4 linked regions of the Macaca mulatta genome follow. The protein of the gene in region 1 purifies or fractionates together with the protein of each later gene. This does not show direct contact. Links are inferred from orthologs where the notes say so. Each region holds a gene or a part of one and is shown in the gene's direction. Other genes may lie near its edges.

The links.
Region 2: the proteins of SLC6A15 (region 1) and KLHL36 purify together in Homo sapiens (co-immunoprecipitation; 3 studies listed by BioGRID and IntAct, counting the BioPlex papers as one, with this or other methods). This does not show direct contact. The link is inferred for Macaca mulatta from reciprocal best matches to the Homo sapiens genes SLC6A15 and KLHL36.
Region 3: the proteins of SLC6A15 (region 1) and GOLGA5 purify together in Homo sapiens (co-immunoprecipitation; 3 studies listed by BioGRID and IntAct, counting the BioPlex papers as one, with this or other methods). This does not show direct contact. The link is inferred for Macaca mulatta from reciprocal best matches to the Homo sapiens genes SLC6A15 and GOLGA5.
Region 4: the proteins of SLC6A15 (region 1) and GPAT3 purify together in Homo sapiens (co-immunoprecipitation; 3 studies listed by BioGRID and IntAct, counting the BioPlex papers as one, with this or other methods). This does not show direct contact. The link is inferred for Macaca mulatta from reciprocal best matches to the Homo sapiens genes SLC6A15 and GPAT3.

Annotation. Positions count from the first base shown.
Region 1 is NC_133416.1:92,090,431-92,094,599, reverse strand, and holds the start of SLC6A15 (sodium-dependent neutral amino acid transporter B(0)AT2), read left to right. Parts: upstream 1-1,366; 5' UTR 1,367-1,607; intron 1,608-4,169.
Region 2 is NC_133425.1:80,009,912-80,013,945, forward strand, and holds the start of KLHL36 (kelch-like protein 36), read left to right. Parts: upstream 1-1,234; 5' UTR 1,235-1,370; intron 1,371-1,556; exon of another isoform or gene 1,557-1,621; intron 1,622-3,612; 5' UTR 3,613-3,628; coding exon 3,629-3,691; exon of another isoform or gene 3,692-3,699; coding exon of another isoform or gene 3,700-3,716; intron 3,717-4,034.
Region 3 is NC_133412.1:166,047,672-166,051,939, forward strand, and holds the start of GOLGA5 (golgin subfamily A member 5), read left to right. Parts: upstream 1-1,468; 5' UTR 1,469-1,609; intron 1,610-4,159; 5' UTR 4,160-4,189; coding exon 4,190-4,268. UniProt on the Homo sapiens protein: Involved in maintaining Golgi structure. Stimulates the formation of Golgi stacks and ribbons. Involved in intra-Golgi retrograde transport.
Region 4 is NC_133410.1:50,209,355-50,213,561, reverse strand, and holds the start of GPAT3 (glycerol-3-phosphate acyltransferase 3), read left to right. Parts: upstream 1-1,407; 5' UTR 1,408-1,590; coding exon 1,591-1,747; intron 1,748-1,804; exon of another isoform or gene 1,805-2,217; intron 2,218-2,365; coding exon 2,366-2,625; intron 2,626-4,207. UniProt on the Homo sapiens protein: Converts glycerol-3-phosphate to 1-acyl-sn-glycerol-3-phosphate (lysophosphatidic acid or LPA) by incorporating an acyl moiety at the sn-1 position of the glycerol backbone.

The DNA of each region.
Region 1 (4,169 bases):
AAGGTTTATTTTGACTGTTTTTATTTTTTCCTGTGGTGCATCTACCAAAGAGCATTTATTTACTTATGGCAGGGGAGGGGTATCAGGGAATCAAATCTAATTTAATTTCTTAACTTTTAATTTTTCAAAGTTGGGATTGGAAGAGAGTCTGAGAAAAAGCTCTCTTGGCTGCTTTAAAAGCTAAGGATTAGTAGCAATGTTCTGACCTGAAATTTAGGTCTTGTGATTTCTTTCCAAGAGATTTTTCACTGCATGAAAAACCTGTCTGCAATGGCCTTTTTTATTTAATTCAATCTTAATTGGTTGCGAACTGTAAAAATCTAAGGGATTGTTAAAAGGCCTCAAAGTGCACAAAAGTATTTTTAAGAGTAATATTAATAATCTGGAAGTGAAAAATGTACTTTGCTAAGTTACTTAACCTTTTACCTACGTTCTAGGTTCATTTTGCATTTCTTTTAAATTTTGAATGTTTCAAGGACGGAAAATTTCATCCCTAGAGCATATGCACTGTTTAGGGGACAGTTCAGCCATTTTCAAAAGCAGGCTAAGCTTTGTGTTCAGAGATGTATATTTTAGGAATTCTCCACGTGGCTTAATTACGATCATGCCTTGATTGTCAGCAGAGGTAAGCCAGGCTTCATCTTCTAATGAGACCCCTTGGAAAAGAGTCGGCTGCTGAGGCACCAACACACCATAGGTGAGGGAGGACCAGCTTTCTAAAACGGCCTTTCATAACCTGGAGGGAATCACTGAGCGCTATCAGGCCACCGCCTGACGGAGAAGCCAATGCCCAGAGGCTTTTTCTTTCGCAAGAGATGGAAATGGCCGGCTTGTGGAGATAGGTAGGGAAAAGGGTTCTTCGGGTCACCCATTTTTTTCTAGTCCCATTACTGACTCTTAGAGAATATTCACATGGTGCCAGGTAGCACCATGCCTATTATTATTCTCACTGAGGCAAAAGTCAGGGGCGGGTAACTGGTGTCCATTCTTTCGTTTGAGTGGGTTGGAGAAAGACGGGATGGCTGGAGGAATTTGTTTTGTTTTGCTTTGGAGCGGGCTTCCTCAGTTGTATCCCGCATCGGGCGGGCACAGCCCTGGGCTCTGGGAAGACGCCGCTGGGCAGCCGCAGTGGCCGTTGCATCAGTGGGTTTTGGGGCGGGGAAGTGCGGAGCTCAGCCGGCTCTCCTGGCTACCCCTCCGCGCCCCGCCGCCGCCCACAGCTTACCCTTCTCCCCTGCAGCCTGTAGGCGCCCGCAACACGGGCGGGCCGGGCACGTGGGCGCCTCCGTCACACCCTCACACATACACACACACGCGCGCGCGCACACACATACGCATGCACACGCGCACCCGCACCCGCGCGCCTGTATCCCGTGCTGTTTCCCTGGCAGACACACAGGCGCTCACGAGTCTCTCCTTGCCAGCCTGCAGGGCAGCAACCCCCAAAACCCAGCTCCTGGTCCCATCCTAGACAAGAAGCTGCTTCTCTGAAAACAGCTCCTCTGCGGCCTCCGTCACAGCCACCTGGACCCTACCCTTTCGCGACTGCTGCTGCTCCTGCCGGGACGTGGAAGCAGCAAAAGGCGCTTGGTCAAGACACACTGACGGTAATGGCAAGCGCCTACGCTAAGGGCACAACTGGGGATGAGGTGGGGCTCGCCATTAGCCACCCAGGAGCCTGGGCACCAGCACAGGGAGCGAATTGGCAGACGGATGCCGGGAAGGACTCGCTGCGTCTTGGGGTGGGAGGAGGGAGGGCAGCTCAAAAGCCCTGGGAGGGAGAAGCTGGGCTGGGCGGGCAACCTTCTAACTCTGCACCTCTGCACAATCAGGGTGGGGGGCGACAGGCTGCACATGTAAGGGGAAGCACATGGGTTGAAACGTGCCGCCATCCTTCCTTCCCGTCGTGGAAATTGCCCACAGCATCCCCAGAGACCTACTTGTTTCCAAGTCAAGTCGGGGTTGGTTGAAGGGTGGGGTCCAACACGGGGAAGTCCAAGAGGAAAGTTGGGAGGGTCGGGGCAGAGAGAGGCGCGAGGTGAATTGGAAGCTAAACCTCGTGCAGGTGGGCGATGGGGCGGGGAGAGCAGAGAGCTTTATTCCTCGTTCGCTTCCGTTCGCTTTTGCAAAGGCTGAAGGCGACTACCGAGGACAGAGTGTTTTCACGTGACCACAGTTCCCTTTTGCTTGAGGTATCCTGTGATAAATGGCCCGAAAGGGGGCCTTTCGCCGTGCGAAAGGCACGTGGCTGCTGGAGAAGTCACGGCTCCTGTGTTTCTGCGCACCTGGAATTTGAGAGTGTGGCGGTGAGGGTGGTGCTGCTGGGATTGTAAGAAGATGGGAATCAGTTAGAAACCCAGATCGTTTCTACCTTTCTTTCACTAGGCTGTTCTGTGTGTGACTGGGAAGAAGACGGTATTGAGTACAGGGAAAATCTTGCACTCTAACGTAGCGCACCAGCGTGATACATAAGAATGAATCAAGACGCCCGAGGCGTTCGGGGGCCGGCATGACCCACCCAGTGGCACAGGCTGCGGGAGCGGGAATTATTTTCCCTGAGCTGAGAAGCAGCATTTGATATGCATTTGAGGAAAGCAAAGCCCCGAGGCTCGCGCTCTCCATCCTCCCGCTTTCCCTTTCCATCCTCCCGCTTTCCCTTTCCATCCTCCTCCCTAGCTGGGAAAGGCTGGAGTAAGACGGGGCGGGGTCCGGACTCCGGCGCAGTGACGTAAGCAATGTTTGGGTGCTTATGCAAATGAGTCTGCGACCGTTTCTTCTGGTCTTGCCATTTTCCCCTCCAGATCTTAAAGGTAGACCCAATCTTAGTCTGCACCATCCTTGCAGTTCACTACTTAAGACGTATGGGAAAAATGAAGGATTTGCTTTACATGCTGCCTTTGGTCTCCTCATAGCCCATCCTGTAAAAGCTATTTTCTACCTGTCAATGCCTGATTGCTTTTCCGCGACACCAGCAACAAAGTGTTTGCTTTGAGGAATTATTCTCTGCAGACACAACCCTCTTCAAGCCCCTCACCTACCCAGTCTCATTTCTGCAAGAACAGTGCTGAAATACAGACCTACTTATGTCTTAGGCACCTAGTACTGGGCTTGACTTGTACGTTCTTAATAAATGCTTAATGATGGACTAAATTTTTTTTGAACAGTGTCAGGTTTTGAAGGGAAGGCGAGGGTTAAAGAAAGACACACACACACACACACACACACACACACACACACACACACACACACACAGAAAGAAGGCGGCTCAACAGCAAATTCAGGCTTTCTGTCCAGCATAAAACCTACAGAAGTGGGGGACCCGGCTAATGCCAGAGCCCGCTGCCACTTACAGGCTGGGTCAATTTAAAGGTATGGGCAGAAGGGATCTGAGCAGTATGGCTTGCTGCCCGGCGGGATATTGATAAGATGCTTCCATGAAGAGGCGGTTCTGGCCCTTGTTCCGGCGGAATGTCGTTCTGGTGTTCAGGGTGTTCCTTGGACCTTTGTCCAATAAGATATGATAGGGATGTCTCTTTAGTTGGGCCTTTGTCCCCCTTGTGGACAGTTGGTTAGACGGGATGTTTCTCACAGCTCGAACCCCTGTGAAATGTTTCGCTTTGACCAAGGTCTGCAAAACAGCAGGGAGCTTACAGCATGGTGCAGTTTGGACTAATAAACAGTATGTATTTTTTTCTTTCATATTAAATTCAAGATATTCGACCATCAAAATCTGGTGATTTTATTTTTGTGGATTGTTGCCTTTTCATGGAATCATCAATGATCCATGTGTATTTGTTGGAGTAAAACATATCCCAACAAATTTAAAACAGAATTTATTAACCATTTTTCTACAAATAAAGCTTTCTCAGTCTTTTTTTTTTTTTTAAGGATGACAGGAATGAATAGGATTTTTAAAGAAAGATAATACTTTACTGTTGATAAGCTTTTTTCTTTCTGATTGCACATTATATACTTGATTGAAAAATTATTTTATGATTCTAATATAGTTAACTCAAGATATAATATTTTAATGGAATAAATAAAAGCATTTTTATATGTTTCTAGGAGATAAGTACTCTATCACTGAATAAATATGAAATAATACAGAATCTTAAAACTGGATAACAGTTATGAGAGATGCCAATAATCAGATGAGATGCCTTCCTTAC
Region 2 (4,034 bases), on another chromosome or scaffold:
ATTGCACTCCAGCCTGGGTGATAGAGAGACTCTGTCTCAAAAAATAAATAAATAAAATCAATAACTAAAAAACAAAGATCCTGTAAGTGGGCTGGGTGTGCTGGCTCACACATGTCATCCCAGCACTTTGGGAGACCGAGGGAGGAGGATCACTTGCGCCTAGGGGTTCAAGACCAGCTCGGACAACAAACTGAAACCCTGTCTCTATAAAAATCAAAGAAAAAAAAATAGCCGATTGTGGCAGCCGGCACCTGTGATCCCAGCTGCATGAGAGACTGAGGCAGGAGGATCACTTGAGCCTGGGAGGTGGAGGCTATAGTGAGTACTACACAAAAGAAATTGCTGATCCTTCAGCAGCCATTTCCCACTCCAGCAACTCCCCGCCCCTGGCAACCACTCATCTACTTTCTGTCTCTATGGATTGGCTTCTTCTGGATATTTCACATGCACGGAATCATGCAATGTGTGGTCTTTCGTGTGGGGCTTCTTTCTCTAAGTATTACATCCTCAAGGGTTATCTCGCTGTAGCATGAGCGAAGTGTGACGATAGATTGATCGATGAAGGTTACGTTCATTCATTCCACACGTATTTACTGAGCACCTACTGTGTGCCAGTCTGGGGGGTCCAGTCAGGAATAGAACTGACAGTAAACCCTGCCCTGGAGGGTTTCTGGTAGGAAGGAGAGACAATAAACCGAATAAACCAGTACATTCTTTGGAATATCAGACGCTGATAAGAGCTCAAGTGAAGCGTGGGGTTGGAAGTTGGGGTGGAGAGAAAGGGGGGATGTGACTTTAAGCAGAGTGGTCAGCAAAGGCCTCCCCGCAGGGTGGCCACAGGGACGCTCCAGCTCAGCCCGGAAGGAGGCGAGAGGCGCGGTGCCCGTCCCGGCGACTCCGGACCAGCAAGGAGGTCCCAGCGCACGCGTCAGTGCCTCGAGGCCCGGGACCCTGCGTGTCCCGTCCCCGCCGTGGCCCTGCGTCCGTAACGGTGGGTGGCACCAGGGCGCATTTCGCGCGGCGGGGCTGCGGCCTGCCCTTGAAGGGACGGAATCGGGCGTCGTGGTGGGGTAGACACCGGGGATCCCCGGAGCGCGGACGAGGAGGGCGTCCACCCCGCGAGCTCACCCCACGGCCCCCGCGCCCCGCCCTCGGCCGCAGGCCCCGCCCCGCGCCGCCCGGCCCCGCCTCCCCGCGGCCGCCGCCATTGGCCACGCGCGCCGCCTCCGCCCTCGGCCTCGCACTTCCTGGCGGAGCCATGGCTGCGCAGCGGGCCGGCCGGGGGGCTCCTGAACCAGGGCCCCGCAGCCCCGACCGCCCGGCCCCGCCGCCGGGGCTGTCCCCGCCGCGATCGTAGCGCGTCCTGCCAGGTGGGCCTACGCGCGCGCCCACCCTTCAGCCCGGGACCGCCGGGAAGCCGCGCCCGCCAGGGGCGGGGGGCGGGCGGAGATCGGAAGGGTCCCCGGCCCCAGCGAGCCGCGAGCCCCCTGCGCCCCTTGGTGCCCGGGGCGGGCGGGTGGGCGAGTGGGGCGGCGCGACTGGGGGAAGAGGCCAGGGGAGGGGCCGCCGCCCCCGCAGGTGACACAGGTGCGGCCTGTGCGTTCCGCCCCGCGCGTGGCAGGTGAGTGGCCCCCGCCCCGGGCGGTCCCGACTCCGCCTCCGCCTCCTCGCCTCCGGCTGGAGCCTGCCTGGGCGGCCGTTGAGCTGAGTTCCGCCTGGGCTGCGGGGTCCGAGTGAACGACAGCGGCGTCCCCGGAGACCCCGCGGGCGAGCCGGTGTCAGCAGCGTCGCTTTCTCCAACGCTGAGGTCGGGAGGGAGCTTGGGAAGGAGGCTCCCTGGGAGCCCCCCCGTCCGGACGGGGCCTGCGTTCCCATGTTTACTGGAAGACCTTTTCCAGTGACTTGGGATTGTCACTGTGTGTGTGGGTGGCCTTGACCCTTCACCTGCTTCCAAAAAGCGTCGGAGGCCGCTGACATCCAACACGCGTGGAAGTCAGCCCGCACCCCCACGCACTTGCAGGAGACAGCAGGGAGCCTCCGGCCCCGGGAACTCTCTAGGTATCTTGGCCTAGAAAAGAAAGCGTTGAGCGTTAGAGGGCCTGGCTGAGCCCGGGCAGGCTGCCTGGGGCGGTGGAGAGAGAGGCACCTGCTGCTTGCTGCTCTGTGACCTTGGGCAACCCCCCCCCGAGGCACCCGAGCGCCGGGTCTCACTGTGGGAACGACGGTGGCACCTGTCTCAAAGGGTGAAGGTGGAATGAAGTTGGGTCCGCGGTGGGCACTGCCCGAAAGCTGGGTTTCTTCTCTTCCCTCTCTGTGCTCTCCAGCATCCTAGGGGTAGTCAGGAGGGCCGGGAATGGGAACAGCTTGTCGTTGTCACAAAGTTTCTAGTTTGTCAAGAGGAATCTCGTTGTCCCTTCTCTCCCTAGGGGAGTTGCACAGGACGGACTGTGCCCGAATTCATTCCTTCCATGGGAACACTGGAGTGGCCTCCCTGTGTCCCCAATTATCTAAGAACAGTGCTGACTTCTTGTCACATTGTTCTTTATTAGTAAAGACAGTGTGTTCAATAGGTAACAAACTCTTCTCCTGAACTCAAATAGCAGGGGGGAAAATCCTCTTTAAAACCTTAGTCTCAGTGTGTGACTTGTACTAATATTAGTTGGCCAAGTCCCTTCTCTGTGTTCCCCTCCATCCTTGAAGCACTTGACCGCCCCCCCACACCCTCCCCCACCCCCGCTCCCGCCACACCAAAGCCTAACTCTGCCTGTAGTGATCCCCCCTCCAAGAGCCAGGCAGTGCAGCCTAAGAGTTAAGAGCATGGACTTTTCCCTGACCTGGAATCCCAATTCTGCCAGTTCCCAGCTGTGTGACACGGGGCAGGTTATTTCACCTCACTGCTGTCAGCATCCTCCAGTCACAGTGCTGGCCTCATGGGGTTGCAATGGGGACTAAGTGAGTGAAGCCACAGAGAAGCACTTGGGGACAGTGTGTCTAGAATGTACTGTGTACATGGTAGTCATCACTGTACCACATCCTCACCTGTATCATATTTTCAAAGTGTGATGCTCTCGAACCCCGGGCCTCATTCAGCATCGTGTCATGGTGATGGATCCAGGTTTTGAAGCTGGACAGACCCAGGTGTGATTCTCAGCCACTTACTAGCTTTGTGACCATGAGATCAGTATCCTCATGTGTGAAATGGGATAAGCGATATCAGCCTGGCCAAGTGTAATCTTTGTGGGGGTTAAATGAGATGGCACATGTAAGTCCCTTAGTTTGGTTCTAGGACTGTAGTCTGGGCTCCGAAATTATAACTTATCATTATAACCTCGGTGTAGCCAAAAGGTAATTATTTGTAGGAAGTGAACTAAATGACATGATGTCAGATTTTAGATGATAAAGGAATGCAAGTTAAATGTTCTGTCCAATTCTAACAACCCGATGAGCTCTCAACTCAGTGTAAAAGAGTTCTTTGTAGTGCACGGTCCTCCCTCCCTCCTTCCTCCGTGTGACTGTTTTCACTGTCGTCCTTGGTATCTGCTAGCAGAGCCTGAAATTAATGAATGAGCTAGAGTTATGACTGCATGCTCAGAAATCCTGTTCTTCTCCTAGGGCTGAGATCTCTGTAATGATGGAGGGAAGCAGGCAGACGCGAGTGTCTCGGCCATACAAGATCAGCGAATCATCCAAGGTCTGTGAATGTTCACTCACCACCTGTGCAAATTGCCTAAGAAGTGTGATCCTTTTTCTGATTCACTCATTTCTAATCACAGACTGATTTTTTTGTCATTGGTGTTGTCAATCTCCTTAATGACAAGTAAAGGTGGAAATGGGCAAGGAGCGGAAATTGTCATAAAATCAGAGAGTGGGAAGTGTGAGGGATGTTAGAGACACTATGGCCAGACGTCTTCGTTTTTCAGTGTGACATCCCAGAGCTTTCTCTTTGTGACAACTTGACCCATTCATCAACCCAAGGAGGTGGATGGGACAGGAAGAAAACTGGGTTGGGGCTCAAAAACTCCAAGGATAGGTGC
Region 3 (4,268 bases), on another chromosome or scaffold:
ATCTCAGTGGCTTATAACAGCAAAAGTTGGTATTTCACTCATGTGAAATCTCAGATGTGAGCTGCTTCACATCCCCTTTTTCTTCTAGGACCAAGGCTGAAAGAGCAGCCCTTCTGACACAGACTATTCTCATGAAAGGAAACATTTCTCTGGTTGAAATACGTAATAACTCTTAATGCTTCTGCTCAGAAAGACCTCCTGCTCCTATTTCACTGGCCAAAAGAAGATCATACGATCAAGCCTGACATCAGTGAGGATGGAAAGAATGCTCCTCCTACAGGACGCGCTGCAGTTACATGGCAACAGGCGATGATGTATAATCCTTAACTGGAAAAGCAACTTAATAGTTAGGAACAACAATACCACCTACCAGAGAATAATAGTACCTTCCTTATGAATGTGAGATTAAAATGAGGTGAGGCACATGCAATGCTTAACACAGTATTCTACACTTAATAAAAAGTTTGATAAATGTTAGATGCCATTATTATGATTATTACCTCCTGGTGCTGAAAAATTTTCTCTTCACTGTACTGGGCTAAACCTCACCTGAGAGGAAGAAAAGCAGCAGCTGTAATTACTTCCAATATTTAATTTGGAGACAATAAAACTTTGAGTCTACGGGGCACAGGCTTTGGAGTAATGTGGACTCCTTATTAGGACAGATGATCTTAGACAAATTATTTAAACTGTTTGAGCCTTACTTTCCTCAACTCAAAGATGTGAGACTTGGAACTGTATTGTAGGCTTGTCATTAGGGCCAAATTAGCCCAATCCTGTACACATAGTGGGTGCTGAGTCTTTGAACTATTGAATGTGGATTTTAGACTTATTTCAGATAGTCAATGAACTGCATGCATAACATAACCACAGTATTACCTTTTCTATCCTTTGGGTCTCAGCTCAAATATCATCTCCTCAGAGAGACCTTCCCTGACCACCTGATTTAAAGTACCTCCCGTGCTTCCAGTCACTTTTCCCCGTTTTCTTGTCGTTACAGCTCTGGTAACGCCCTGAAATTGTCTTGTCCATTCACTGTCATGTAGTATCTGTCTCTGCCACTAGAAAGTAAGCGCCATGCAATCCGGATCATGGTTTCTTATTTCCACCTTCTGCCGTGGGCCTCTGGCATTTCTCTTCTGTAAAACTTTCGGGAGATGGTGAGTAAAGGGAGAACTCACGTGACCCGCAACGAGGCCTAGCCTTTTGTGGGTGTAGCCTTTCACGTTGCGCCGGCCGCGTGCGGGCCGTCCACCGCGGGAGGACAGCTACGTCACACGCACGCAGGCCCTGCGCCGCGCCTCGTCTCGCCACGGGCGGAAAGGGGCGTGGCCATGCGTAAGGACCCCGTAGCCACCGGCGCCACCGCCTGAATCGCCTGCAGGTGGCTGTTCTCGGCTCCCTGCCGTGCAGGCATCTCGAAAGCCACTCTGTTTTGGGGTCCTCGCGCCCCTTCCACGTCTCCCGGAAGCGGTAGCACGGCCGCGGCAGGTCCGGGAGAAGGTTTAGTCTGCTCGGGCCCCCTCCGGGCCAGCTGCCGAGGGGGCGCGGCCCAGGACGGCGACTAGGCCGTGGTGCAACCTCTCCGGAGTCCTCAGGTGAGGCGGAGGCGAGGGCCCACTGGACAAGACGGGAGTGTTAACGGTCCTAGGAGCGGGGGCGCAGTCCTTTCAGCGGAGACCCTGGTCTCTCGGTTTTCTTTCGGGTGGCGCTCGTCTTCGCTGTGTTAGGGGCGGAGGAGGGTAGCTGGAGAGACCCCATGGGCTTCAGCCGACGTTGTTTACTGCCCTCTGTATTCTTTCTTCCTGACCTTTGCCTGACCTGGCAGTTCTTCCCGCACGGAACGAGATGGGTGGGGAGCGGAGTGGGGGGTCTCTGCTCGCTTACCTGAGATCCACAGACTGAAGACCCCAGGGCACTGCCGACTGGGCCTACACGACTGACCTGCAGCCTCCCTCCCTCTGTGCTGACGCCTGTCCTTCGAAGCAGGCCCTGCCACCGCCCTCTGCGGATCCATCCCCATCCCACGCACTCTCTCTGCCCTTGGGCAGTGCCTGGGGAATTGAAGGGTGCCTCTGAAGTCCTTTGTGTCTTTGAGATGTTTGTCAATGGAGCAAGTGCCCAGGGCCCATCTAAGTATTTAATTGGGTAATCAACATTAATTGCAACATTAGTAGCAATTTAATGGTGTGTTTTAAAGCCCAATTAATTTTAAAATGAGAGGCAAGATAGAAAGAATTGAGTGTGTTTTGATTTTTTTATTACTTTTTTTGTAGAGACAGGGTCTTGCCACGTTGCCCAGGCTGGTCTCAAACTCTTGGCCTCAAGTGGTCCTCCCCGCTTGGCGTCCCAGTGTGTTGGGATTACAGGGTGAGCCACAGTGCCTGGCCTGTATGGTGTTCTGTATGTTACAGAGCATTTCGTCTCCATTTTCATTTGGTTTTTTTATAAACTCCGAAAGACATAGGCATGTAATAGTCACATGTGTAAAAAACAGGTTTAAAGGATGAGTTTCTTCTGGAGGTTTTTTAGGTTTTGAGCTATATGGTATAGGGAGGCAAAGATTAAAAGGTGGGTTTGGCACTAGGGTGACTTCGACTTGAGTATCTGAGCTGCTATCTAAACTCTGGGATCTTTCTCAACCCTTTCCACATTTGCTTTTAAAAAAGGATATTGCTGTTTACCTCATAATGTGACTGTGAAAGTTACATATGATGAAAGATACATGTGTACTTGTGTACAGCATCTGTCATGAAAAAATTCCACTCAGCAGTATTTATGAGTGCCTACTGTGTGCTAGACTCTGAGAATTCATTGGTGAGCGAAACAGACATAATCTGTATCCAACCACTGCCCCCCTTTCCCCAAGAACAAGAGACATGTTTAAAAAAAAAAACGTAATTATAACACATGAAGGGCTGTGGGGCAAAAGAATAGGATATGTACAGATAGTGATTGACCTAACTTAGATGGAAAGGAGAACTCTGAAGCAGATGACATTTGAGTAAACACCAAGAACAAGAAAGTTAACCATGAAAGAGTTCTTTGCAAAAGGAACAACGTGCACATTCTAGAAATGGTTGTGGACTTTATTATAGAACCCTTCTATATCTGTATCTTCATCATTACTTTGATGTATGGTGTCACACAGTAAGTACTCAAATATATGTATGGAATGAGTGGTTATGCAGTTTTGGTTTTTATTCTGAACTTAATGTGCACGTGGTAGGTATTGAGTATTTGGATTATTGAGCATGTACTTTAGACAAATTATATGCACACCTAAATTAGATGTAATAGTGCCACAGTTTAACATTAAGATGGCTTTTGTATTTAATGGAAAAGTTTTTTTAAGTTTTAGCACTTTAAAACAAACTTCAGTGAATTTTATTTTTATTTGGTTGTACTGGAATTTTGCCATAGTGGTTAGTTGCTAATTTGCTGCTGTAGCAAAGTACCACAGACTGATTGGCTGAGCCAACAGAAATTTATTTTCTCTCGGTTCTGAAGGCTTGAAGTCCAAAATGAAGGTATTGGCAGAGTTGGTTTCTTCTGAGGCCTGCTTCTTTTGCTTGCAGATGTCTGTCTTCTCCCTGTGTCCTTTCCGTATGTCTGTCTGTTGAAATTTCCTCCACTTAGAAGGACATGCCAGTTATATTTGATTAGGGCCCACCCTAATGACTCATTTTAATTATCCCTTTAGAGACCCTATCTCCAAAAACAGTCACATTCTGAGGTCTGGGGGTTAGGACTCAAATAAAGGAATTTGGAGGGATGCAGTTCAGCCCATAACAGATGCTTTTGCTATATTAAGATTTGCCCTTCATTGAAATAGTAATAATAAACACAGTAGTGGTAGTTGTAATAAGGATAATAGCAGCCACTAAAATGAGTGCTTATTATGTGCCAAGCATTTTGCAAAGTGTCTTTTATATATTATTTCATCATAACACCATCCTATAAGGTAAGTACACTTTCCCCCCCCGTTTTCTACATAAGATTTCTCAGCCTCGTTTAAGTAGTTTGCTCAAGGTTACCTAGCTAGTAAAAGGTAGGGTTAGGATTTCAACCCAGGACTACCTGACTCCAGCGTCTGGTGTTAACCATTTTTCATACTCTGCCATTATGCCACGATGATCATTTTATGTCCTTTTTACAGGTTTGCCAATAGGATTATCCTGCTGCCATCATGTCTTGGTTTGTTGATCTTGCTGGAAAGGCAGAAGATCTTTTAAACCGGGTTGATCAAGGGGCTGCAACAGCTCTCA
Region 4 (4,207 bases), on another chromosome or scaffold:
CCGTTGTAGGGTAAACTTTGGTACAAGGATTCAGCCTTCCTTAGTCATCTTGGTTTGAGGAATAAAAGGAAAATAAGAGTTTTGCCTGAACATATGGTATTAAATATGCCAATATAATCTTTGGAGTTTTGCACTAAATATATATAGTTTTTGGAAGCAAGGACTTTGGGCAGCTTTCGGTAGTTGTGTTTTCCGTGTTTTTCTAAACTAGCCAACCCATACAGAGGTTTAATTTTGAGAAACCAAGCTCCTAACACGTCTTCATTCATAATCTGTTTCTTTGTTTCGTTTTTGTTTTTTGAGACGGAGTCGACCAGGCGCGGTGGCTCAAGCCTGTAATCCCAGCACTTTGGGAGGCCGAGACGGGCGGATCACGAGGTCAGGAGATCGAGACCATCCTGGCCAACACGGTGAAACCCAGTATCTACTAAAAAAAATACAAAAAACTAGCCGGGCGAGGTGGCGGGCGCCTGTAGTCCCAGCTACTCGGGAGGCTGAGGCAGGAGAATGGCGTAAACCCGGGAGGCGGAGCTTGCAGTGAGCTGAGATCCGGCCACTGCACTCCAGCCTGGGCTACAGAGCGAGACTCCGTCTCAAACAAAAAAAAAAAAAAAAAAAAAAAGAGACGGAGTCTCGCTCTGTCTCCTAGGCTGGAGTGCAGTGGCACGATTTTGGCTCACTGCAACCTCCGCCTCCCAGGTTCAAGTGATTCTCCTGCCTCATCCTCTTGAGTAGCTGGGACTACAGGCGTGCGACACCACGCGGGGCTAATTTTTTTTGTATTTTTACTAGAGATGGGGGTTTCGCCATGTTGGCCAGGCTGGTCTTGAACTCCTGACCTCAGGTGATCTGCCCACCTCGCCTCCCAGAGTGCTGGGATTACAGGCGTGATCCACCGCGCCCGGTCCATAACCTGGTTTTAATCATCAACTTATAATTTTTTCCGTTCTTAGTGCGGGAGGGGGCTTGTGACAGTTACCTGGCAGTAAGTACATAAGGCAGACATCTACATTATTTACAGAGGGTCTTCTCACTTTCTTGCCTCCCCACTTCCTCCACACCCTGGGCAGGGACCATTTTCTCTGCAATATTTGCTATCAACGCTGTTTCAATTCAGTTTGCTGGCCCTCCCAGTTTTTCCAGCTTGAAACAACACCTGAAAAGTACCTGTAAGATATTTTGGTCGAATTCAGCGGCAATCTGGAAAATCCCTTCTCAAAATCCCTTCTGCTCATTCCTTAAAATAGTTCAGGTCTCTAAGAGAACTGCAATGGAGTAAATAACATACAGGGTTTTGCCCTTCGTTGCTCTGATAAGGGCTGGCACGGTAGAAGCGCGGAGCCTGAACACCCAGGAGACACGTGTCAGCTTGGTGAATGAAGGCTTGCGCCGGCCTGGCATTTCTGCTACCTCTAAGCGCGGAGAGTATTAGCTGAATGGTAGGGGAGGGTGTGGTTGGAATCTTCTCCAGGAAGGGAGTGACAGATAGGTTTCAGTGCTAGGGAGATGGCGGCTCAATGGGTTAGGCGACACGTGGACAGAGCTTCCTAGTCTCGGGATAAGCAAGATTGAGCCCCACAGCTGTAGGCCATGCGGGGAAGGAGGTGTGGGAGCCTGAAGCGGCGTACACGGCTACCTGGTGTGCTCTGCATTTTCCTGTCCTTGGAAGTCCTTCCCAAGAGTTCGTTTTACACCCACACAAACAAGACCTCAAGCGTCCCAGAAACGTCAGCAGTTCATTCTGCGGGTGAAGAAAATATTAACATTTTTCAGATGAAAACTCTCCTCCTGAAAGGACCTTTGCTGAGTGCTGGGGGAGGCGGGGCGCAGGGAAAAACTGAGACCGCCCAGGAGGCTGCGGCGCTCCTGGGCTAAGTTCTGCCAGGGAGCTCCCCCGTTGGGTGACGGAGGAGGTGGGGCGAGGGCAGCGCGCAGAAATAGGGCTCTGGACGCCCGAGCGCAGCCAGCCTCCAGCACAGCCCGCGGCCCGGTGCGAGCTCCGCCCGCTGCCCTGCCGGTGTGCCAAAGTGCGGTGGTCCCGCAGGGAACCGGGCTCGGGGAGGGCCTCTGTGAGTCATCTGCTGAGTTGTCGCAATCACCACCCAGAGGAACTCAGGCACCGGGCGGGGCGCGTTCCCGGCTGCGCTCGCGCGCTCTGCCGCGCTGCGGTGTCCCTCCGCTTACCCGCAGCTCCAACCACTGGCTCGCGCTACCCAGGTCTGCGCACGCCGCGGTGGCTTCAGCCCAGACCTGGGCCGCCGGCGGAGAAGGAGTTAACTGACAGGGGCGAGGAGGAGCCCGGGGAGGAAGGAAGGATATTGCCGTAATTCTGAAAGTTTTTTTCCTTCCTCTCTTCCCCTCGCAGAGGTGAGTGCCGGGCTCGGCGCTCTGCTCCTGGAGCTCCCGCGGGACTGCCTGGGGACAGGGACTGCTGTGGCGCTCGGCCCTCCACTGCGGACTTCTCCCGAGTGGGTGCGCCGAGTCATGGAGGGCGCAGAGCTGGCCGGGAAGATCCTTTCCACCTGGCTGACGCTGGTTCTCGGCTTCATCCTTCTGCCTTCAGTCTTCGGAGTGTCTCTGGGCATCTCCGAGATCTACATGAAGATCCTGGTGAAAACTTTAGAGGTGAGTGCCGGGAGGGATGCAGCCAGCCCCACGCCACTGCGGGCTCAGAACCCTGGGGTCCAGCTCTCAAGGTCAGTGGTCGCGGATCAGGGGTGTGTGTGCGCGCGTGTGCATGCGTGCGTGCATTTCTGTTCCTTGCCCGCGGCAGTGCGAAAGTCAGCATCTCGGCGGCTTTTGCGGACCTGGAGGGATTTGGGCTGAAACCACTGGACCACTATTGTTCCTCTGGTCGGAAGCAAAAATCACTCCATTCCCTGAGCATCGTTATTATTTTACTGATTATAATAACAATGCGACCAACTTTTTGTATCAGAGGATTTGCTTATATCCATTATGCAGTGCAGTTTCCCCTTCACCCGCTTGTTTTTACAGCCCCAGGTTTCAGAGGTCCTTTTGTGTACTCAGGCATCCTGTTCAGAAAGGCATCGTGTTCTTCTTTATGCCCAAGATAAGAGACCAATTCCTGGATGGCAGAAAGAAATCGTATTTTCTTTTAGTGGAGTCATGGAATTTTATCTAACTAACAGCACTTGAAATGCCATTGAAAAGGTATATATTCTTTGACCTCAGGTCTCCCTACCCTCCTGTTTCCAAATTCTGCAAAGAAAAATGTTAGATGGAAGTGGGCCTGGTAGAGAACAACTGCAGCTTACTCTTAGGGTTTTATTAAGTGTCAAAAGGCTGGGTAGGGTAGGGAGGGCAAGTGCTATCCCCCTTTTACAGAGAGGGAAACTGAGAGTCAGAGATCAGTGGTTTGTTTGAATTAACTGTTAGAAGCAGGAGTCTTTTTTTAAAAAAAAATTGTATGTATATAATTTATATCTACTTGTTTCAAAAATATATATATTTATATGTTACATATACTTTTTTTTTACATAAGAGACAGCGTCTTGCTATCTTGGCCTGGCTGGTCTTGATCTCCTGGCCTCAAGCAATCTTCCTGCCTTTGCCCCCCAAAGTGCTGGGATTACAGGTGTGAGCCCCACGCCTGGCCAGAAACAGGAGTCTTAACTGAGTACAGCCTAGTGGTTAGGAGTAGAGATCCTGGATACAGGTTTGCTTAGATTTGGTACCAAAATTGTAGCTCTGTTTCTCAAAATGTGACCTTAAGGAGGTCATGTACTCTTGTGCCTCATTTTCTTTATCTATAAAATAGGAGTAACAATAACTCCTATTTCCACAGGGTTGTTCAAATAAGTTAAAATGTATCAAGCACCTTAGAAGGCTGCCTGCATCGACTATATGAATGTTTGTTGCTATTAAAAGAATAATATGATTACTGAGATTCTAGCATTCCACAGTGCCTTCTTATAAGTTTGGTTCCCATTTTTGTGACCTTATTTTCTCTCTGCCCTTAGGATGTGGCTTTATCTGCTCTTCTTCCTCAGCTAATTGGGGAATACATCTCTAACCCACTGGACACTGTCTTGTACCTGCTAGCCTCCTGTATTGCCCTAGACTCTCGTTTGTGGCTATTTCTTTGCCTAGTCTTTGAAGTTGTATGTGATTCTTCATTCTCAGTGCTCATGCTTTTAAAGTTTTATTGTTTCTACTTGGGAGCTATTTCTGTTTTGAACTCTTA